Linked DNA regions of Macaca mulatta. The protein of the gene in region 2 purifies or fractionates together with the protein of the main gene of each other region. This does not show direct contact. Links are inferred from orthologs where the notes say so. Each region holds a gene or a part of one and is shown on either strand. Other genes may lie near its edges.

Region 1 (5,727 bases), on a different chromosome or scaffold from region 2:
TTGTTTACCAAGTTTGCCGTATACTGTTACTAGGTCAGTAAGATTAGATGGGCAGCAATTTTTTAAACTACTTTTGAACAGTTTGAGGGTACTTATTTGTAGATCACCTCTGTTTATCTGTGTTCTCCCAAGACAGCATTGATAGTTAGAATTCTAAATTGGGATTTTTTAACCCTTTTTTCAAAATTTAGCCCCATCTGTTAATACTCTATTTATAAAACAGAGCATATAATATGATAAAGGAGGTTCATGATTGAATAATGAAGCTTTGCAAGAAACTAAAAAGCATTATGTTTTAGTTACTTTTTTTCATCCAAAGAACAGGAAAATTTATCCTAAATATTGGCATTTTGCAATTAAACATTTAGTTCATCAGTGTGCCCTATCTAAAGTACTTGCCATACTCTATTATTTCACCATGTAATTACTCAACATGCAAGCATCTAACCCTCACACATCAGTAACTACTGTCACCTCTGTCCTGTGGCCTTGGGAGCCTTAATTCTAAAAAGTAGACTTCTAGAGAAGCTGAATACTTGGGAGTAGCAGAAGAAAAAAAAAATCAAGAAAATTGGAATATATTACTCATTCAACAAATATTTATTGAATACCTACTGTATTCCTGGACTCATTCATAGTATTACATAAGTGAAGAGTAACAGACAAAAATACCTGCCCTTGACAAAAATGGGGGCAGATTCTCCAGCACTACTGTCCTGAGCCATAGAGAACTAGAGCGTGACTATACACACTTAACACATGCACACAAGCATAAAAAACATTTTTCTACATAATCTGAATTTGTTCACTTCCTTTTTTCTTTAAAAAAAAAAAAAAAAACCTGCCATTAGAACCAGTTAACAAATGCACCTTAATTTCCTAGGAACTCTCTTTGAAAAAATATGAATACTTCCAGATAGGTTTATGGATTTTCAGTTTCTTATACCACTTGAAACCCCTCAGTCAGATTGCTTTTCTCCTAACAACTAACTGGTATCACTTGCACTAAGAGTAGAAGTTTTTATTTTAAGGAGGAAAGGTGATGTTGAAGTTTGTACCGTTTACTTGGGTCACAGACAGCCTGGCTCTAATGCCTCAAAGAAAAGCATAAAATAGAATGAAGGAGAGACACTAAATGAAGCCAGGATGCTAAAAACAATTAATGTCCATGCAGAAATATCTAATGGTTTGCTTTAGAAAAGGGAGGTAATTCTTCTTTTCATCCTGTTTTTCTGTCATTCTCCTGACTCCTTGTTTTGAGGGTCCACAGTTCAGACTTTTACTACTCATTCTGAGGATCCACCATTTCTGTGGTTTCCAAGGGGACACAGCCTCTGAGTTCTAAGCAGCTAAGCTTACTGAACTTTTGGAGTGTAACCTGTTTATAAGTAATTAAATAATAGCTTTAGGGCATTCATGTGCTCATTATAAACTAGTCTAATCTGATCATAAAACAGAGTGCCTCTTTGGCAACTCTTTATTAGCCTAATCGTATTTATGCATACACTTAAAAATTATAATTGTGTCTATGCATAAATTCATTTCTCTAATTCAACAAAACCCATACCATTGCCCTAAGGATGCGACATATCACTCTGCTGGAAATTTAGCGCTACTTCACATTTAAAATACAAGTTTTAACATTAAATAATTTCTTATTCCCCAAAAAATTAATTTCTCTTTCTAGTCTCTCACTGAATTTAAATTCTAACTAGTTATTGCACTAGGGCAGAGGTTGAGATATCACTGATAGTTCACACTGAGTTTGTTCAGCCTGTTTTGCATCCATGAAAATAGTTTTTGGTGGTAATGGTTGTGTAATGATGTGTAGAAATTTTATTGGAAATATTTCCCCCAGAATTCTTCAAGTGTTTTAGTATGTGTGACAAACAATAAGAATTTCGTAGCAATGTTTTTTATTTCAGTGTTTAGTGGCTAAATCATTACTAAGTTATAATTTTATTAATAAGTTTCACTATAAAATGGACCATACAGGTGATCGAGGAAACATCTCAACATCTTCTAGACCAGCTTCTACATCAGGAAAATCAGAGCTGTCCTCTAAACACAGCAGATCACTTAAACCTGATGGACATATGAGCCGGACTACTGCTGATCAGAAGAAGCCAAGGGGCACAGACAGTTTATCAGCTAGTGAATCCCTCATCTTAAAATCTGATGCTGCAAAGTTGAGGTCAGATTCCCATAGTAGGTCATTGTCCCCTAACCATAACACCTTGCAGACATTGAAATCTGATGGGAGGATGCCTTCTAGCTCCAGAGCTGAATCCCCAGGACCAGGTTCTCGGTTGTCATCTCCTAAGCCAAAGACTCTCCCAGCCAACAGGTCTAGCCCATCAGGTGCTAGTTCTCCACGCTCCTCCTCACCACATGATAAAAATCTACCTCAAAAAAGTACTGCTCCTGTTAAGACAAAACTTGATCCTCCTCGGGAACGTTCCAAATCAGACTCTTACACACTTGATCCAGATACCCTCCGCAAGAAGAAAATGCCCCTCACAGAACCTTTGAGGGGACGGTCAACATCACCAAAACCAAAATCAGTACCAAAGGATTCTACAGATTCCCCAGGATCTGAAAATAGAGCTCCCTCTCCCCATGTGGTACAGGAAAACCTCCACAGTGAGGTGGTCGAAGTCTGCACCTCAAGTACTTTAAAAACAAATAGTCTAACAGACAGCACCTGCGACGACAGCAGTGAATTTAAGAGTGTGGATGAAGGTTCAAATAAAGTTCATTTTAGCATTGGAAAAGCACCACTGAAAGATGAACAGGAAATGAGAGCATCCCCCAAAATAAGTCGAAAATGTGCTAATAGACACACCAGGCCCAAAAAAGAAAAATCGAGTTTTCTTTTCAAAGGAGATGGATCCAAGCCTTTAGAGCCAGCCAAGCAAGCCATGTCTCCTTCTGTGGCCGAATGTGCCAGAGCTGTGTTTGCTTCCTTCCTCTGGCATGAAGGCATAGTACATGATGCAATGGCTTGTTCTTCTTTCCTAAAGTTTCATCCTGAACTTTCCAAAGAACATGCTCCTATAAGGAGTAGTTTAAATAGCCAACAGCCTACAGAGGAAAAAGAAACCAAGTTAAAAAATAGACATTCGTTGGAAATATCATCTGCACTGAATATGTTTAATATTGCACCCCATGGACCAGATATATCTAAGATGGGTAGCATCAACAAAAACAAGGTATTATCTATGCTTAAGGAACCACCTCTGCATGAAAAATGCGAGGATGGGAAAACTGAGACCACTTTTGAAATGTCCATGCATCACACAATGAAGTCTAAATCTCCTCTTCCCTTAACTTTACAACATTTAGTGGCTTTTTGGGAAGACATCTCTTTGGCTACTATCAAAGCTGCTTCCCAGAATATGATTTTTCCAAGTCCTGGTTCCTGTGCAGTTCTTAAAAAGAAAGAGTGTGAGAAAGAGAATAAGAAGGCCAAAAAGGAAAAAAAGAAAAAAGAAAAGGCAGAAGTGAGGCCCAGGGGTAATTTGTTTGGAGAGATGGCCCAGCTGGCGGTAGGAGGACCAGAGAAAGATACCATCTGTGAACTGTGTGGGGAGTCACATCCGTACCCAGTGACCTATCACATGAGACAAGCTCACCCAGGTAAATGATACTGGCGAATGTATGTATAAGTACTTCTTTCTTTACTGAACCGGATCACTTCATTTGAGCTGTTATATGAATTTTGGCAAAGGATAGGGAATTTATAGTATCTTAAAGTACATTATCAGTACAGGGTTTTGCAAAAAACAGATAAAGAAATTCTAATATTATGATGACAAGGTCATTTAGTGCTATTTCACTTTCATGTAGCATGTTTTAAAAAAATTTATGTGTTACCCAAAGGGTGTGCCATTAATGTGTCTGTCTCACACAACAGAATCAGTGGCGTGCCCATACACATGGGGCATCTCCTTTGATTTTACTATTTTCCTGTTCAGAATTGCAAATTAAATTAGATTATATTGATTTCGATAGGCTTTTTCCTATGGAAGTGATACTGTTTTATCAGAAGACTGCATTTTCAGTAAATGTAATGATTTCTGTAACATTGACTAATATTCCAAATTCACCTAATACAAATTTGTATTTGTAATTTTTTTCTTTGTCTACATATTATACTTCAAATGTTTTATGTGACTTCTGAAAATATATCATTGTTATAGAACTTTTTTACTTGTTTTGTCTAATTTTATTGACATAATTAAGTATATCTAAATGTACCTATAGTCTACCTCTCTTTTAATCTGCCTGAATAGAAACTAAGTATCTCTCATATTTGGGGTATCGTTTAATTAATTGCTTTTTGATCAAGTAAGCTATTTTTCTGATATAGTTAATAGCCTGAAAAATCAGATATCTATTTCAGTATTTTGCTTTCTTTGAGAAGGTAAATCTGTCGTTAATCTATGAGTAATAAGGATCAAACTATTAAGGACACTTGGAGTGTTAAATATTTATTTTTGGTATTGTTTCAAGGTTGTGGCCGATATGCTGGTGGACAAGGTTACAATAGCATTGGGCATTTTTGTGGAGGATGGGCTGGTAACTGTGGTGATGGTGGCATAGGAGGAAGCACTTGGTATCTGGTATGTGATCGCTGTAGAGAAAAATACCTCCGTGAAAAACAAGCTGCTGCAAGGGAGAAGGTATTTTATTCCATTCGGAGCTATAGTTTTAATGATATGGATACACTTTATAAAAATAGCTTTTTATGATCTTATTACATCAGATAATTCCGCATAGTTGATATAAAAGATCAGCTTTTACAATGGAAATCATATACAAATTTAATATTTGTACTACGTCAGCTGCTTTTAATTTTAAAAATTAACTATATATTGGAATAACACTAGATAACCTCTGCTACCTGTTTTTTTGGCTCCTTTGTTTTCCTATTCCATAGCTACTCTCTCTTTTCCTTATTCACTCTAGTGGCTAACCTAACTAAAAAATTTCACTGAATACACACAGATGATTTACTTTTTAAAAAAATGAATTATATTTAGATTTAACTAGTTAGGTGTTAAATTTTTCTGAAGAAAGAAAGGAAGTATAGTTTGTGTTTAATACAGAATAGTCAGCCCAGGATGAATATGAAGTGAATGTTGTTTTTTTATAATCTTAGTATTTTAAAATAGCTTTACAAGTGTTTAATAATTTTTATTGGAAACTCAAAATACTTAGCTTAAGGAACGAAATATTTTAATATAAGTCAGAAAAGATTACTTTGATTTTTTTTCTTTGCCAGGTCAAACAATCTAGGAGAAAACCAATGCAAGTCAAGACCCCTCGTGCCTTGCCCACCATGGAAGCTCACCAGGTGATTAAAGCCAATGCACTCTTCCTGCTCTCCCTGAGCAGTGCAGCCGAACCGAGCATTCTGTGTTACCATCCTGCAAAGCCATTCCAATCTCAGTTGCCCAGCGTGAAAGAAGGCATTTCTGAGGATCTTCCTGTGAAAATGCCTTGTCTCTACCTTCAGACATTAGCTAGGTAATAAAATTTTGTTGTTGTTTTTTAATCACCTTTGGATTAACAGTGATTGTTTATTGATATCTAGGGTAGTTCAGTATTTGACCTATACTTTATTAGATACTATGTACTGTAAAGAAACTTCCAGGCATTTATTTTTTTGAGTTGCCTTGACTAACATAATGACTTTATGGTAGTAGGTATTTAAAAAACTAT
Region 2 (6,264 bases):
TATACTTAAAAACAGAGATGTTCTAAGTTTGTAAAATTAGGTCTTAAAATCTGTTGTCAGGTTTATTTTTGATGTCCATATTCTAAAACTTTTTTGATTACATTCAGTTCCTGGCTTCATACTGTTGTTTCACAATAGATGCAATGCTTTAAAATACAAGGCCAATTTAACATTTACAAATGACCATATGCTACTGGGGAGTATAAATTCGAGGTCAAACACTCTGCCAACTTTCATCGGTATCAAAAGCGGTAGCTAGTGTTTAGGAAAACACTGGAGCTCAGAGGCCATCTACATGAGTTGCTAGTCTATGTGACTCAGAATTCCATTTGTCCTGCTCTTTGCTTCAGAGCTGAAGTCATAAATGTCTCCATCTGTGACATAATTATTTCCAAAATCAATTAAGAGATGTCAAACAGAAAATTGTGGCTTCAGGTAATACATAAAATGGCAGAAATGGATAATTTAATCTTAAGGATGAAAATTTAGCTCCCTCAAAGCAAACAAGAAAATGAAATGATTTGCCCTGTTTTCCTCACTTAGGACAGGTTCTCTCCCATGGGGAAATATACTGTAAAAGGATGTGAACATTAGAAGTTACTTAGTTCTCCATACGAGTAAGCAAATAACTTTACAGGTTTTATTACTATCGTGCTGGGACATGGGGGTGGCAAAGGGGTACAATGATCCACAAGTTGAATGGTTCAAAATAGCAAAAGGACCAGATTTTCTGCTTTTAAGACAGAGGATGATGACATACTTTTAACAGTATTGTCAACTCCGGGAAAATACAAGGTTTAAATGGAAGAGCCAGCAATTTGTCTCCATGTCCTAAGACATAATTAAATTCAACATTTCCTTATTAACCAAATAAGCACAGCCCTCAAAAGAAAAACTAAGGCTTTATCTCATTTCCTATCATGTAATAGCTGGTACAAAATAAAAACTTGGAATTCACTTTTAAAAATTGATTTCTATAAAGATAACAATGTACACAAGGGCCATTCTGCAGTGCTTTACGGGGTGTCTACTATAAAGAAGGACAAAAGTTTGTATTAAACTAAATCTATAAAATATGTTATCTTGTCCCTCTGTAAAACTAGCACGTAAATGGTTTTTTCCTTTGTTACCCTAGACTGTTACCATAAGCACACTGAAGCAACTTGTCCTGAGAAGTGGCATCTTCATATGGCATTCAGACTTCTTCACATTCCGGTGTGAACGCCTGCCTTCCCCCTTTTCCACCACTCCCCTTTACAGACCTCAAGTATCAAAACAACACTACTTGGCAATTATACCTAGAAGATGGTCCTCCACACCACTCCTCACATTGTTCTTCCACAGTTTTTCAATCTCCATTTGTTAAACTCCTTCCTACCCATTTTCCAAGGCCCTCCACGGTAGATGTTCTCCTATCTGATACTCTGTCACACTAAATATACTATAGTTAGTGCCATTCTACTGTTTATTAGACTGTTATCTTCTTAAGGGCAGAAAGTCTGAATTAACTTCACACTCTCAACTCAATACCACAAACTCAACACCTGGCAAAATACATGCTTGGTACATGGCGATTCCTCAGTGTTCTCACATGAATGGTCAACTCATTCTGATGCAAATTGAGATGGTGTAATTTTATCCCATGTAAATAAAAGTTTTATCCTGGATTATTACTCTAAGTATCGTCAAAACCAAACAAACCAGGTATTTGAAACTCATTAACCAGAAGAACAACACACATAAGCTACCTCTCAATTGAAAGGTCCAGCTTTGAACAGTGTTGGTAAGTGCCAATCATCAGGCAGTCTGAAATAAGCTATCTCCTTTATCCAGATTTCATATGAGTTTTTATTAAAATCCTACAGATAGGAAAGAAATGAGCCAACTCTGATATGTGAAACCACCATTTCGACAGACCTCTTATTTATGTGTACTTTAGACCACTTGGGAAAGATGAGATCATTTAAGCAGCAGCGCCATCATCTCGCTTTATTTGACCCCAACAATGCTCTCAACCTAACAGTAAAGAGGCATGCATCAACCAGGCTAAACCATATTGTCATGCGGTGGCAGCAGGTAACATCTGCCCCTTTCATAAAGGGAAAAAGCTCCCATAAAGAACTTAGGACCTTCCCTAAAAATGTCGGATACAGAGGTACCCCAAGCATCTCCTTCCCCCACCTTCACAAATCTACTCCTGGAATCTGAGACATAGGTCCTTTGTCTGAACAATGTGGGAGGAGTCTGTCTGCAGTACTGGTGTGCTGACAAGTGAAGAGGAGAATTAACTGAAAACTGTATAAACACAGAAGTTTCTTAATTACCTTAGTGTCCAATTTTTCTTCATCCTGCACACCGAACAGTTTCAAAAGACAGCCAGTGTGTCAGTGTGTCTTTCCGAGACTTGAAACGTATCGAGAGGAATACAGTAAGATCGGCGGCAGTGAGTTGGGCTGCTTTTCCAAAGCTGTTTCTGAACAGCGGAGGGGCAGGGGATGGCGGTGATACCGACCATTTGAACATCCCTTCCCTCCCCAGTGAGCTCTGTCTACAGGCCTCCATTTCTGTCCTTTTCTCCATCTGAACAAGTTCTTGTAAGGGAGGCTGAACGCTTTAAAAAGAAGACACTCGGCGGCGCAAACTTGCAATCTCGAAGGTTTCCGTACCCAAGAGCGAACCCACAACTCCTCGAGCCCGACCTTTTACCACCTCACTGAGGTTTCTGGTGCCACGCCAGCCTGGTGTTCCACGAATACAGCCCAAGTAACGTGAACACCACCGGACTGGGTCGCCCGAAAAACTTCACACTTTTTACCAGGCGAGACGAGCGAAAAAGCGTGGGTTTTCGCAAGGTGACCCATCTTCACATCTGGTCGACCCTCGGCTCCTCCCAGACCCCTTCGGGGTGGATCTGGGGGCCTCGCCGGGTTCGCCCTTTCCGTCCCATGCTCATTTCTCTCGTCTCCCCACCCACGCCCGGGGCCATGCCCAGCTGGACCTCCCCACCCCTGCACTCACCCTGGCGGCCGACGATCTCGGCGACGTGCTCGGAGCTGGGCACCGGGACGCACTCGGTGGTGTTGACGCTCTTTCTCCGGAGCAGGGCCGCCTGCTCCCCGTTCAGGGCGGCCGCCGCCGCCCCACAGCCGCCGGGGCCGTAGGCATGGGACAGCATCGCCGCCATCATGCCCTGGGCATCGTCCCCTCCGTACAGCACCCCCGCCGCCGCCGCCGCGGCCGCCGCCTCCCGGGCATCGAAGCCGGCGGCGGGCAGCAACACAGACCCCAGGGACCCGCCTGGGATCGGCTGGGTCTGAGAGGCGGTGGCCGCGGGCGGCGACAGCAGCAACAGCGACGACCGGTCTTCCTCCTCTGCTTCCTCCAGCTCCTCCTCCTCCAGCAGGTCTCCGTCCAGCTCTGCTTCCTCCCCCTCCTCCTCGTCCTCTTCCAGCTCCAGCTCGGCCGCCTCCGGGGCCCCGGGCCGGCCAGGCGGAGCCCGCTCCTCTGGAGACAGCCCCGCCGCCCGCCGGGCCTGGCCCTGCGCCGCCGCCGCCACGGCTCGAAGCGCCGGAGCACCGGGATCCGCCGGGCTGGGGTCGTCGAGGCCTAGCGCGGCCAGGCGCTCCCTCAGCAGGAGCCCGTCCCCCTCGAGCTCCGGGCCGCCCGAGGGCGGCGGCAGAGGCGGCGGCGGCGGCGGCGGCGGCGGGGGCGGCTGCGGCAGGGGCGCCGGGGCCGCCGCCAGGGCCAGGGCCGCGGAGCTGCCGCTCGGCATCGCGGCGGCGCGCTGTCAATGGCGGCGGCGGCGGCCGGGTCAGGCGCGGCAGGCGGCGAGCCCCATGGCGGACAGGGCCAGGGCCCTGCTCAGCGCGCAAACACCTTTCCTCTGGGGAGGCGGTGGGGCTGGGGACCCGGGCCGTGGAGCGCCAGGGCCGCCCGGAGACCGGAGAGGGCGGGGTGGAGGGGCAGGGGAAGGAGGCAAAGGTAGGTAACTAGGTGGGTGGGTGGGGACGGCGGCGGGGCGGGCTGGTGGAGGTGGCAGCGGCTCCCTCTCAGGGTTTCTTTTGTTTCATGGCCTTAACCAGCCCCCGGCGCGCGCGGCGGCGGCGGCGACGCCCCACGCCGCTCTCCGAATGAAGCCGGCGCGCTCTGATTGGGTGTTTTTAATCTCTGGGAGCCCGCCTTCTCCTCCCGCAGCCTTCCAACTCCTTTCCCCAGCCCCACCCCCCACCCTCCTTCGGGCCCCGCCCCTCCCCTCCCCAGAGCTCTCTGATTGGGTGACCGGGACCAGCCAGCTCCCGAAGCCCACTCCTTCCGTCCTCTCCCCGCCCACCTCCCTCTCCATTCCTCCCGGCACGCGCGGAGAGGGACTGTGATTGTTCACTTTACACGTCACTCTTTGTGACGTCTCCGGCGGGGGCGGGAAAAAGGAGGCGGATGAAGGCGCTGCTGCAGAGGCTGAAACTAAGGGCCAAGCTGGGTTTTGGCGCAGGCGCCTGCGGTCGAAGCGCACACCTGGATTTGTTTCCCCCAACCCTTTATCCCTATAGCCGGTCTGGCTGAGTTCTTTTAGGGAAGGCACTGTGTGAGCGGCCTGGAGCAGAGCTGCAGGCGCAGGTTCGAGGGCATTGTTTCCTCGGGTTGAGGATGAGATCGCCCCCTTCAGAGGAAGGGCCTTAAGAAGAGTCATGGAAGGAGGGGCCACGCAATATCCTCCTATCCCCTCGCGGGGGCGGTTTCCTGAGCCGCGTGGCTCCCGGGCCTTCCCTCTCGGACCCGGGAATGCTCCTCCCTCGTGGCCTGACGCTCCCAACGCCCCGTTGGCCCGGCTTTTCTGCCGGCAGGGTGGTTACATCAGCAGCCTGCAGGTGCTGAACTTTAGCTCTTTGGGGCTTTTTTTTTTTTTTTTTTTTTGAAACGGAGTCTAGCTCCGTCGCCCTGGCTGGAGTGTAGTGGCACGATCTTGGCTCAACGCAACCTCCGCCTCCCGGGCTCAAGAGCTTTCCCTTGCCGGGCGCGGTGGCTCACGCCTGTAATCCCAGCACTTTGGGAGGCTGAGGCGGGCGGATCACGAGGTCAGGTCAGGAGTCCGAGACCAGTCTGATCAACATGGTGAAACCCCGTCTCTTCTAAAAATACAAAAATTAGCCGGGCGTGGTGGCGCACCCCTGTAATCCCAACTACTCGGGAGGCAGAGGCAGGAGAATCGCTTGAACCCGGGAGGTGGAGGCTGCAGTGAGCCAAGATCACGCCACTGCACTCCAGCCTGGGCTACAGAGCGAGACTCCGTCTCAAAAAAAAAGTTTTTCCTGTCTCAGCCTCCCCAGTAGCTGGGATTACAGGCACGTGCCACCACGCCCAGGTAATTTTTGTATTTTTAGTAGAGACGGAGTTTCACCATGTTGGCCAGGCTGGTCTCGAACTCTGACTTCAAGTGATCCGCCCGCCTCGCCCTCCCACAGTGCTGGCATTAGAGGCGTGAACCACCTTGTCCAGCTCTTTGGTGCTTTTAAAGAAATGAATCCCCGTTTCCTCCTCCCTAGACACTCTTCCCACAGTATTGCTCAGGTGATCTCACTCTGTGGCTATCTTTTCTATAGGTTATTATTTTGTTGTTGTTGAGACAAGAGTCTCACTCTGTCGCCCAGGCTGGAGTGCAGTGACATGATCACGGCTCACTGCAGCCTCGACCTCCTAGGCTCAAGTGATTCTCCCGCCTCAGCCTCCCTAGTGCATCACCATACCTGGCGCGCATCACCATGCCTGGCTAATTTTATCTTTTGTAGAGACTGGGTTCTCACCCTGTTGCCCAGGCTGGTCTCAAACTCCTGGGCTCAAGCGATCCTCCCACCTGGGCCTCCCAAAGTGCTGGGATCACAGGGGTGAACCACCGCGCCTGGCCTCTAGGGGGTATTTTTAAATGGCTTGTTAAAAAGTATGCCTGTTAACTTTCCTTTATCTTAGGGCTGTGACCGGCCCATCTATCCCTTCAGTACTAAGTCCTGCCAGGTTAATCTTAGCCAGCAGCGTGGTCCTATATCTACAGATACAGTGTAACAATGTAATTGTAAAATTTCTAAATGACCCCTTTAAGGCAAGAAGAAACATAGTTTTAATAAATACACTTAGTTCAATATGTCCAAAATACTATTTCAACATGTAAGCAATATAAAATTACTGATAATGTTTTATAGTTCTTTTGCACTAAGCCTTTGAAACCAGGGTGTGTTTTATACTTCCAGCAGTTCTTTTCACACGAACCACATT
Region 3 (5,727 bases), on a different chromosome or scaffold from region 2:
ATGGGGTTTCACCATGTTGGCAAGGCTGGTCTTGAACTCCTGACCTCAAATGATCCGCTGGCCTCAGCCTCCCAGTGCTGGGATTACAGGCATGAGCCCCCACGCCCGGCCGGAAGGAGTTTGGGGGTTGAGCTTTTCTAATTTCATCAATGTGGAAATGGAGGCCCAGAGAAGGAACAGGGGGTACTGATACCTCCAGCCACCCTTCCAGGGTTTTCCAGATACTCTGATCTTCACAATAACCCTATGAGGAAGAGGAGGGTCTACATACACTTCCCGGTGGGGACAGGAAGGCCCAGATAGGCAAAGTGACTCAGCCTAGGTCATACAGGAGGAGGCCCTGATCAGCGTCTGGACCCGCAGGCCTGGCTTCTGAGTGCAGGAGGTGCTGGCATCATGACATGGAGCCCAGTGGAGGATAATGGCAGGACACGGAAGGTGCCAGACAGGGACAAACTGAGGCCTGGAGCAGGTGAGTTCCGGAAGTAATGCCTCCCACACACCACTTCACTGTCATCTCCTGTCCTGGGGGAAGGAACCCCACCCCCATCTTACAGATGCAGACACTGAATCTCAGAGAAGTAACTGCGTGCCCAAGAGGGGCTAAAGAGAAGTGTGGACCTGGGTCAGCCAGCTTCCCCACGATGAGGAAGGCCAACCTGGAGAGGCAGGCCTGGAGGCAGGAGGCTGGGCCGGGCCTGAGAGGATATGAGTCTGGAGGTCTCCGGGGTGGACCACAGTGGGTGAGAAATTCTGGAACTGTACCGAGGTCTTGTTGCCATAGAAGAGATACATGCGGCCTGCAGTAGGTGGGGGAGGCAGAGCTCCATCTGAGTCCCTCTGACCCCTTCCCCAGGCCCAACCCAAGGTCTCCCTCCCACCCATTCCCACAGTCCCCTGGGACACACCTAGATTCTGCCGGAACTCTGACTTGACTCCGATCTGCAGCAGCTGGTTCTCGAACAGAACCCCGTTGTTCTTACACACAAACCTGGGTGGGAGTGGCAGGGGGCGCAGGATGACGGGGATGCCTGCCTGCACCTGACCTAGGCTCTGCACCTGTCCCCATTCCCCTCCCCCACCTCTCCCAGGACTCACTTATTCAGCAATTCATCGGCTTCCGGAATGGGAGGGCCAATGTCTTCAGGACCTGGGCTGGAGGCAGTGAGTGAGTGGAGTGAGATGGGAAGGGACTTGGTGGGGAGGGGCGAAGACCCAGAGCAATTGAGTGTGAGAACAAACCCTAAGGACAGAACCCCAGAACCACATATCCAGACCCCTCACAGAGCTTCGAGGAACTTCACATCCGTTCAGCAGTGGCCTCTAACGGGAATGGAACCCTGGCCCGTGCCCCCGCATCGGCAGGCACCAAGTTTCCCTTTCCTCAAAGTCCCTGCCTCTGCTGCTCATCAGGAACCCGTTGACAAGAGCTCTCAGTCCCCTAACTCTCCCTGGGGACACCGGAGTCTGCCCCCCCGCGACCTCCCACCCCAGGCCACCCCTTACTCAGCAGCTGGAGCTGGGTCAGCCAGCAAAGCCATGGGGCTCTCGGGGGCAGGCGGCTCCAGCTCGCTGGGCCATCCAATCCCAGAGCAGACAAGAGAAGACAGGCGTGGCAGCCAATCCCAGACAGGCAGCAAGAGGGCCGGAGAGAGAGAGACAGAGAGGGAGAAGGGAAGGAGAGAAGGAGAAAAGGAAGAGCAGGCTGAGAAACGGTGACAGGAAAGGAGACAACGAAGGGTGGCCAGTGTCGGTGGAGTCCAGAGTGGGAGAGGGAGGCTGTGAGCAGGGAGGCTGGGGCAGGGGAGGCAGCAGCCAGGGCTGGTGAAGGCATCGGGATGGAGAGAGGAGCGAGTAGGGGGCTGGGGAGGGGCTCAGGGAAAATGCGGGCAGAGGCCGAGAAGGGACAGCCCTGGGGGTGGCTGTGAGAAGGGGCCCGGGCCCAGGGGGTGCTACCTGAGGAAGGCCTCCTCGGGGGTGGGCCCCAGGCTGGGCTGGGCGGCCGGGCCATCGAAGACGTCCACCAGGAGGTTCCCTGCCCCTGCAGAAGCCGGGGGTGCTGCCGGGGGAGGGGCTGCCCGCAGCCCCAGGAGGTCGGCGGAGGGCGAGGGCGTCGACTGTAGGAAGCGCAGGTCATGGTGAGGACAGATGGCACCCTGGCAGGACCCAGCCCCAGGCACCCTGGCAGGGCCCACCCCAGGGGACTCACCACAGTGCTGGGGGTGGGCTCTACGCCCCCATTGATGTCGTTGCTGCTTGGGTCCCTCCGGCCATCATCCAGGGCACTGCCAGCCCCTGGCCCCTTCTTGCGTTTCAGCTTGGCCAGGATGGACGACTCGCGCTCGGGGAAGGGCGGCATCTCCTCCAGCACCGTAGCCTGGCGCAGTCGGGTGGGGAAGGTCAGTTCGGGTCAGGAGGAGGGGAGAGCGGGAAGGGGGTATGCCAGGGTGGGGAGGGGCAAGGCTCTGACCAGGACGTCGGTGCTGGCCACCGAGCTGAGGGTGAGGTACTCCACGGCTCGCTGCTGCAGCTCCACGTCAGCATTGCGCAGCTGGGAGCCGGCCCGCAGCACGGCCTGGATGGTGGCCTTGGTCTCGGGGAAGAGGTTGATGAACTTGATGTAGGTGGACAGCAGCAGCGCCCGCGTCGCCACGCTGCACAGGTGGAACTTGGAGTGGAGCAGGGAGAACTGCACCGGGGGGCTGTGCGCGGGAGTGGGTGTCAGCGGGGACCAGGCTCCACTGCCCTCTCCCAGAAACCCCCTCGAGAGGCACCCCTCCCTGGGATGGACCTGTCCCAGGACCCCAGGCCGCTGGAGGGGAGTGGCCCTCCCCAGGCACCAGGCAGGGGCCACAGTCACACTCTGTCCATGATCCTGGGACTGAGGTCCTCTCTTACCCTGCTAGGTGGGTTGGGGTGGAGGCCGAGAGGATGGGAGCCCATCACCGCCTACCCTGAGACCCCTGGGGATCCCTCAAGCCCTGGATCCGTCAGAAGTGTGTAGTGTTCCCCCCGCAGGCTGAGGCTCCCTCACCTGGAGCGGGGGTCCCCAGCAATCAGGTTCCCAAACTCCCCAAGGATGTAGCCGCCAACCTTCACCATGTTCTCATGACAGGCAGGGGCCTGGAGCGCCTGGGGGGGGCGGGGAAGGGCGTGGAGAGGACAAGAATGAGCACTCTCTCTGGGAGCACTGGGTGCAACCACCTCCTGACTGGTGGAACCCTCAAAGCTCTGCTGCGGGTGGGGTTATAAGTGGTAAACTGAGGCACAAAAAGGTTGAGTGACCGGCCCAAGCTCACACAGGCCGTAAAACAGGGCTGTGAGCCAGGCGTGGTGGCTCATGCCTGTAGCCCTAGCATTTTGGGAGGCCGAGGAGGGCAGATTGCCCAAGCTCAGGAGTTTGAAACCAGCCTGGGCAACATGGTGAAACCCCATCTCTATTAAAAATACAAACAAATTAGCTGGGTGTGGTGGCATGCGCCTGTAGTACCAGCTACTGGGGAGGCTGAGGCAGGAGAATGGTTTGACGCTGGGAGGCGGAGGTCGCAGCGAGCCAAGATCACGCCAAGGCACTCACTCCCCAATCCAGCCTGGGTGACAGAGTGAGACTCCGTCTCCAAAAAACAAACACACCAAAAAAAAACCAAAAAACAAAAAAAACAGGGCTGTGCAGGTCCCCTTTCCTGGGGCAGAGGGAAATGGAAACTACCGAGATCTGGGGCCAGGACTGCACACCGGGCTCCCCATGCCCATGCCCTGGGGACTCCTCACATCAGGAGGGTAGGAGGGACCCAGAGCCCTGGGTGCCCTGGGTTGGCCCAGAGAGGCAGAAGCCCCACTTTGAGGTCACAGCAGTGCAGGAGGAGGATGGCCAGGGGCTGGCAGGCCCCACAGCCCCGGCCGTCCTTGCTCTGCCTCTAGGTCCTGTCGTGGGGTCATGGGGGTCAGGGTCAGGAATGCTGACCTCAAAGACCGTCTTGGCGGCGTAGCCCTGGACGTCATCACGGTTGGTGACGATCTGTAGCACACGGTACCACACCTCTTCACTCACGTAGTCGCCCGCGATGCGGATGAGGTTGAGGATGGTGTCCACATACCAGCTGTAGTCCACGGCGTACTTCTCAGCCAGGATGGCCACCTTCAGGACCTGCCGCCGGAGCGTGTGAGAGACAGAGTGCCCGCAGGCTGAGTCGGGCTTTCACTCACCTGGCTCTGGGCTCACCACTGCCCCCATCTGGAGACCCAGGAGTCCAGGTCCCAGCCCCTCCTCCCTCAGACCCAGGAATCCAGGCCACCAGCCACCTATCCCTCAGATCCAGGTATCCAGGCTCCAGCCCCTCTTCCCTCGGACCCAAGAGTCCAAGCCCCCAGTCACCCCCTCCCTCAGACCCACAAGTCCAGCCCGCACCCCGCAGCACTCACGATCTCCTCGCGGATGGCATAGTCGGCCGTTTCCAGGTACCGCAGCATCTCCGACACGATCTGCTTGGCATTGCTCCGGTCACACATGGCGTAGAGGAGGTCAGCTGCCCGCTGCCGCACGCTGACGTCCCGCTCCGTCTGAGGGTGGACAGCAGGGCCCAGGTGTGTTTTAGACTCCCTGTTGGCACAGGGTTGGCCACCCAAGGGCCTCTGAGCCTCTGGTCTTTCTGAGGGGGGTGGCAGGCCCAAGTGGGCTCCAAGGGGTCACACCTTGAGGGCATTGATGACGGTGTCAATGTGCGTCTTGACGGCTTCGTGGGAGAACTCGGAACTGGCCAGCGTGCACATGCTCTCCAGGGCCAGGTAGCGCAGGTTGGTCTCCCGGTGCTGCAGGAACTGGCCCAGCTGGTTGCAGGCCCGCACCAGGAGGTTGGGCTCACTGCCCGCAGGGGCCACAAGAAAGGGATAGTGAGAGAAACTGACAGGAGGAGGTGGAGGACTCGGGCCCCAGCTGACCCACCTCACAGCCCCCAAGGATCCAGGTCTTTTTTTTTTTTTTTGAGACGGAGTCTCGCTCTGTCACCCAGGCTGGAGTGCAGTGGCCGGATCTCAGCTCACTGCAAGCTCCGCCTCCCGGGTTCACGCCATTCTCCTGCCTCAGCCTCCCGAGTAGCTGGGACTACAGGCGCCCGCCACCTCGCCCCGCTAGTTTTTTGTATTTTTTAGTAGAGACGGGGTTTCACCGTGTTAACCAGGATGGTCTCGATCTCCCGACCTCGTGATCCGCCCGCCTCGGCCTCCCAAAGTGCTGGGATTACAGGCTTGAGCCACCGCGCCCGGCCGGATCCAGGTCTTAACCTTGCCGGCCCTACATTGCAGTCCTGCACCTCCAGTGACCCAGACAGCTGGGCCTTTGAGCCCAGAGAAAGAAACCCAGCAATTCTGCCCCCAGGAAGCGCCCCAGCACCAACCTCACAGGTGACACTTCACAGCCCCATCCTTCTACTACCCTACCTAAAAGTCAAGATTCCCTGCCCTCTGCCTAGGACCCAGGAGTCCGGGCCTCCACGCCCCTCCTTCCTGGCCCCGGGCATCAGGCCCTGGTGGGCCCAGGCGGGCACCTGTCATAGTGGATGATGAGGCTGATGGTCTCGAAGAGGATGGCGTTCTTGGCGTTGGAGTGCTGCACCTTCTTGGATTTGGGGGGCTCCTGGGCCTTGTTGAGCACAGTCTCCAGACATTCCACCAGCCGCCCCTTCACGGCCGCATCCTCTGGGGAAATGAAGGGGACGCACCTGGCTGAGT
Region 4 (5,727 bases), on a different chromosome or scaffold from region 2:
ACCAAGCCTGGCTAATTTTTTAATATTTTCAGTAGAGATGGGGTTTCACCGTGTTAGCCTGGATGGTCTTGATCTCCTGATCTCGTGATCTGCCTGCCTTGACCTCCCAAAGTGCTGGGATTACAGACGTGAGCCACCATGCCCGGCCTCTTCTGCTTTTTGTGTGTTTTTTTTTTTTGGTTTGTCGAGGACCACTGCTTAAGCCAAGTAGATTTTTTAAGTGAAAGCCTTTCAGAGATTGAGGAAAGTAGATTAACTGATACATTAGAACTTTAACGTTGACTATTACAGGCATGCTTCACTGTGCTCGACTGATTTTTTTTTTTTTGCATTTTTAGTAGAGACGGGATTTCACCATATTGGTCAAGCTGGTCTCGAACCCCTGACCTCAGGTGATCCACCCACCTCAGCCTCCCAGAGTGCTGGGATTACAGGCGTGAGCCACTGCACTCAGCCAATCTAAAAATATTCTAAATGGCTAGTTGAGTTTGTCCAGGATAGGGGTCATAACTGAAGAAGCTTTGGCTATTTAACTGATACTGGTGGTTGCACCTTTCCTTGTCAGACTCCAGTCTAGCTGTCCCACGTGTAGCTCCAGTTTTAAGTCACTTCCATGCCTTTGCTCATGCTTTTGCTTAAACTTGAAGTGTGTTCTTTTTGCTTTCTCCTGATCCATTAAGGTTAGCTCAAATTTGACCTTCCCATTAATTGCTCCTCCTGGGTCCCTGAGATACTTCATTTAGAGTAGCACTTGAGTCTTCGTCGTCTTCTTTTTTTTTTTTTTTTTTGGTTCTTTTTGTCCAGGCTGGAGTGCAGTGGCACAATTTCAGCTCACTGCAACCTCCGCCTCCCGGGTTCAAGCAATTCTCCTGCCTCAGCCTCCTGAGTAGCTGGGACTGTAGACATACACCACCATACTTGGCTAATTTTTTGTGTTTTTAATAGGTTTTGCCATGGTGGCCCGGCTGGTCTTGAACTCCTGGCCTCAAGTGATCTGCCCGCGCGCATTGGCCACCCAAAGTGTGCTGATTACAGGCGTGAGCCACCACACCCAGCCTCCTCCTTCTTTTAAAATAGTTACACATTTGTCCATCCTCCATTTCTAAAGTTTTAAGGTGATTGTGGACTTAGATTATGTCTCTCTTTTTTTTTTTCTATTGGTATCTGGTATCATTTCTTGGGCATAGTACACAGTATTCAGTAGGTGTGGATTTTCTTTTAAAACTGTAAAAGGCAGGCCGGGCGCGGTGGCTCACGCCTGTAATCCCAGCACTTTGGGAGGCCGAGGCGGGCGGATCACAAGGTCAGGAGATCGAGACCACGGTGAAACCCCGTCTCTACTAAAAATACAAAAAATTAGCCGGGCACGGTGGCGGGCGCCTGTAGTCCCAGCTACTCAGGAGGCTGAGGCAGGAGAATGGCGTAAACCCAGGAGGCGGAGCTTGCAGTGAGCCGAGATCGCGCCACTGCACTCCAGCCTGGGCGACAGAGCGAGACTCCGTCTCAAAAAAAAAAAAAAAAAAAAAAAAAAAAAAAACTGTAAAAGGCTTACATGACCACATTTCCGTGGCTTCTGTGTTGCCTTTTATTTTCTTTGCTTCCCTGCCTCCATTAATGTGAAATTAAATTTTATTAAACTTTGAGGTATTGTCCAAGATTTTCTTTTTGCATTAATACTTTGTTAAATATCTCGGGGGGGGGGTGGTTTGTACCATTGGTCCCAGCCACTCAAGAGGCTAAGGTGGGAAGATTGCTTGAACGCAGGAGTTCAGGTCCAGCCTGGGCAACATAACGAATCTCTTAAAAAAAAAACTTGGGGCCGGGCGCGGTGGCTCAAGCCTGTAATCCCAGCACTTTGGGAGGCCGAGACCGGCGGATCACGAGGTCAGGAGATCGAGACCATCCTGGCTAACACAGTGAAACCCCGTCTCTACTAAAAAATACAAAAAACTAGCCGGGCGAGGCGGCGGGTGCCTGTAGTCCCAGCTACTCGGGAGTCTGAGGCAGGAGAATGGCGTGAACCCGGGAGGCGGAGCTTGCAGTGAGCTGAGATCCGGCCACTGCACTCCAGCCTGGGTGACAGCGCGAGACTCCGTCTCAAAAAAAAAAAAAAAAAACTTGGCCGGGCACGGCGGCTCACTCCTGTAATCCCAGCACTTTGGGAGGCCGCGCCTCTGCAGATCGCGCCACTGCACTCCAGCCTGGGCGACAGAGCAAGACTCCATCTCAAAAAAAGAAAAAATAGTAGTGCTCCACATACCTTTAAGTTAATTTTTATTGTATTTGCTTTTTCTTTGTATCATTGTCACTATTACACACTGGAATAACTGAAGAAGAGATTGATGTCTAGCATGTCTTTTCTAATTCTGATTTTGGATTTAATTTTTATAATACATTTATTTAAATACCTTTAGGTTGGCAAAAGCAGCTTTCGATGATGCAATTGCAGAACTGGATACGCTGAGTGAAGAAAGCTATAAGGACTCTACACTTATCATGCAGTTGTTACGTGATAATCTGACACTATGGACTTCAGACATGCAGGGTGACGGTAAGCAAACACTAGGAAGTAAAAGAGGCACCTCTTTCAGTTGCAGGATTTGTTTTTACTCTCTGTAGACATTCCTTGGCATATCTTTACATCAAGCTACAATTTAGACTCACTGCCTGCTCTCTATGAAATTTTAATTATTGCCTTTATAGGAAATGGTGCTAAAGTACCGAGTTCCATTTTGGGGAACTTAGTTTAAGTCTTCCTTTACACTGTTTCAAAGGTTGAGGAAAGGAAAAGTGGAAAGCAAGTAGTTTATTTTATCTTCGTCCAGATTCAATTTTAGGGGGCTGAAGTTAACTGTATTTAAATCCAGATGGTATCAATAGGTATTTATGAAGTTTTTCTCTTTGTTGAAATTTTTTATCTAAAAGGGAACTAATTTCCCATTTACCTCTGGGGTTCAGCAGAGAAATTGTATGTTGGCCCTTGGGTCTTTTTTTTTTTCTTTTCTTTTCTTTTTTTTTTTTTTTGAGATGGAGTCTCGCTGCAACACCCCGGCTGGAGTGCAGTAGCATAATCTCGGCTCACTGCAAGCTCTGCCTCCCAGGTTCAAGCGATTCTCCTGCCTCAGCCTTCCGGAGTAACTGGGGTTACAGGCACCCGGTATCATGTCCACCTAATTTTTGTATTTTTAGTAGAGACGGGATTTCGTCATGTTGGTCAGGCTGGTCTTGAACTCCTGACCACAGGTGTTCCGCCCGCTTCAGCCTCTCAAAGTGCTGGGATTACAGGCGTGAGCCACTGTGCCCGGCTGTTGTTACTTTTAAGAGGTTTTCATTGCAAACAATTTAGCTAGAGTATTTTACTAAACTTAATTGTGATGGTGAGTGTGTGTGAATGTTTACTTTAAATACAGAAGCCCAAATTTGTTAACGTTTGTTGATTTTAAAGGAAATTTAATTCTCTCTCTCTAGAGAATCATTATTATCCATGGTAGATTGTTGAACAGGGGTGGAGAAGAAGACAAATTAGTGTGATATGAGCATTACATTACAAGATAGTTTTACATTTGGTGGTGCTGGTGCTGGTAGGAGGTTGGAAACAAAGTCTGTTGTCAGTTTTAGCTGCGATTCCTTTAAGCATGTTTCTTAAGCTGGGCTGGGCGCGGAGGCTCAGGCCTGGAATCCCAGCACTTTGGGAGGCCGAGACCGGCGGATCACGAGGTCAGGAGATCGAGATCATCCTGGCCAACACAGTGAAACCCCTGTCTCTACTAAAAATAGAACAGGTGTGTTGGCGGGCGCCTGTAGTCAGTCCCAGCTACTCAGGAGGCTGAGGCTGGAGAATTGCTTAAACCCAGGAGGCGGAGGTTGCAATTAACTGAGATCGTGCCATTGCACTCCAGCCTGGGTGACAGAGGGGAGACTCCATCTCAAAAAAAAAAAAAAAAAAAAAAAAAAAAAAAAAAAAAAGTTTCTTAGACTGAAACATATGTCGCGTTGCTTGAGGCTATCTGTAGTGTCTGTTGGGGAAATCGACCTGCTGTATTGTCTTTGGAAGTGTTACACTTTTTGAAAACGCTTCTGAAAGTGGGCACGTATGTGTCTTTTCTCTGAAAGGATCAAATCAGATTTGTGACTTTTGGGTTATGGTACTAAAGTGAGACTCAGCTTTTAATGCTTCCTAGCTCTAGGAAATGTTTAGGATTTGACTAAATCGGGATTGGCATGAGATACTCATATACATAGGACTTACTTACACGCTTGCAATAGTGCCAGATGGAGCCACGGACCACTTCCCAGCGCAGCATTTCAGGCTGCTACTCCCAGTCCTTGGAACTCAGAAACAATTTACCAACTCTGAACAAGTGGCTTCCAGCTTGAAATCTATCCCACTCTGGTTGCGGTGGCTCATGTCTGTAATCCCAGGACTTGGGAGGCCAAGGTGGGATGATGCCTGAGCCTAGGAGTTCAAGACCAGCCTGGGCAACATAGTAAGACCCTGTCTTTAAAAAAATGAAAAGAAAAAAAAGGCCGGGCGCAGTGCTATGTGCCTGTAACCCCAGCTACTTGGGAGGCTGAGGCAGGAGCATTGCTTGAACACAGGAGGTGGAGGTTGCGGTGAGCTGAGATCACGCCACTGCACTCTGGCCTGGGAGACAGAGCGAGGCTTCATAGAGCAAGACTTTATCTCAAAAAAAAAAAAAAAAAAAACTCCAGTGAGGTTGGGGGATCTTGAGGCTGCAGTGAGCCTTGATTGCGCCACTGCATTCTAACTTGGATGACTGAATGAGGTGCCATCTCTTAAGGGAAAAAAATTGTTTTAACAACTATGAAGAAGAATGGCCAAACAGCTGTGGACTCCTAACAGTCATCCCCAGCTCAGATACTAGCATCTCTCTGCCTGTTGATGGAGGGAAAGCACGTGGAGAGTTTGGGAAGCGGGATTGACTTGAGGAAATGATACCCTCTCACCCCTGGGGATGGGTGTTTGAGAGTAAAAGTAATAAAAAGTAATAAAGGTGACTTGACTTGAATATGTGTGTGTGTATGTGTATTTTATTATTTATTTGTTTATTTTTATTTATTTATTTATTTTTGAGACGGAATTTTGCTTTTGTTGCCTAGGCCAGAGTGCAGTGGTGCTATCTCAGCTCACTGCATCCTCTGCCTCCCAGGTTCAAGTGATTCTTCTGCCTCATCCTCCCTAGTAGCTGGGACTGCAGGTGTCCGCCACCACGCCTAGCTAATTTTTTGTATTTTTAATAGAGACAGGGTTTTACTATGTTATGTTGGCCAGGCTGGTCTCAAACTCCTGACCTCGTGATCTACCCATCTCGGCCTCCCAAAGCGCTGGGATTACAGGTGTGAGCCAGCGCGCCCGGCTCATTTTTTGGTTTGTTTTGGTTTGTTTTGTGATGCGGAGTCTCCCTGTGAGCCACCGTGCCTGGCCATTTTCATTATTATTTTTTTTTTAAATAAAAACATTGCCAGGCACAGTAGCTCATGCCTGTAATCCCAGCACTTTGGGAGGCCGAAGTGGACGGATCACCTGAAGTCGGGAGTTCGAGATCAGCCTGACCAACATGGAGAAACCCCGTCTCTACTAAACATACAAAAATTAGCCAGGCGTGGTGGTGGGCACCTGTAATCCCAGCTACTCAGGAGGCTGAGGCAGGATAATCACTTGAACCCGGGAGGCAGAGGTTGCGGTGAGCCAAGATCGCTCCATTG

Evidence for each region.
Region 1: the proteins of MEX3C (region 2) and MYCBP2 purify together in Homo sapiens (affinity purification with mass spectrometry; 3 studies listed by BioGRID and IntAct, with this or other methods). This does not show direct contact. The link is inferred for Macaca mulatta from reciprocal best matches to the Homo sapiens genes MEX3C and MYCBP2.
Region 3: the proteins of MEX3C (region 2) and AP2A1 purify together in Homo sapiens (affinity purification with mass spectrometry; 3 studies listed by BioGRID, with this or other methods). This does not show direct contact. The link is inferred for Macaca mulatta from reciprocal best matches to the Homo sapiens genes MEX3C and AP2A1.
Region 4: the proteins of MEX3C (region 2) and YWHAE purify together in Homo sapiens (affinity purification with mass spectrometry; 3 studies listed by BioGRID and IntAct, with this or other methods). This does not show direct contact. The link is inferred for Macaca mulatta from reciprocal best matches to the Homo sapiens genes MEX3C and YWHAE.

What each region holds. Positions count from the first base shown.
Region 1 is NC_133422.1:71,890,926-71,896,652, reverse strand, and holds part of MYCBP2 (E3 ubiquitin-protein ligase MYCBP2), read left to right. Parts: intron 1-1,995; coding exon 1,996-3,639; intron 3,640-4,515; coding exon 4,516-4,685; intron 4,686-5,287; coding exon 5,288-5,532; intron 5,533-5,727. UniProt on the Homo sapiens protein: Atypical E3 ubiquitin-protein ligase which specifically mediates ubiquitination of threonine and serine residues on target proteins, instead of ubiquitinating lysine residues.
Region 2 is NC_133423.1:41,103,752-41,110,015, reverse strand, and holds the start of MEX3C (RNA-binding E3 ubiquitin-protein ligase MEX3C), read right to left. Parts: upstream 4,071-6,264; 5' UTR 3,773-4,070; coding exon 3,019-3,772; intron 1-3,018. UniProt on the Homo sapiens protein: E3 ubiquitin ligase responsible for the post-transcriptional regulation of common HLA-A allotypes. Binds to the 3' UTR of HLA-A2 mRNA, and regulates its levels by promoting mRNA decay.
Region 3 is NC_133424.1:62,266,570-62,272,296, reverse strand, and holds part of AP2A1 (AP-2 complex subunit alpha-1), read right to left. Parts: intron 5,695-5,727; coding exon 5,544-5,694; intron 4,862-5,543; coding exon 4,693-4,861; intron 4,561-4,692; coding exon 4,423-4,560; intron 4,148-4,422; coding exon 3,965-4,147; intron 3,133-3,964; coding exon 3,035-3,132; intron 2,703-3,034; coding exon 2,471-2,702; intron 2,378-2,470; coding exon 2,210-2,377; intron 2,118-2,209; coding exon 1,957-2,117; intron 1,573-1,956; coding exon of another isoform or gene 1,507-1,572; intron 1,156-1,506; coding exon 1,099-1,155; intron 992-1,098; coding exon 909-991; intron 801-908; coding exon 711-800; coding exon of another isoform or gene 622-710; intron 1-621.
Region 4 is NC_133421.1:2,893,959-2,899,685, reverse strand, and holds part of YWHAE (14-3-3 protein epsilon), read left to right. Parts: intron 1-2,414; coding exon 2,415-2,551; intron 2,552-5,727. UniProt on the Homo sapiens protein: Adapter protein implicated in the regulation of a large spectrum of both general and specialized signaling pathways. Binds to a large number of partners, usually by recognition of a phosphoserine or phosphothreonine motif.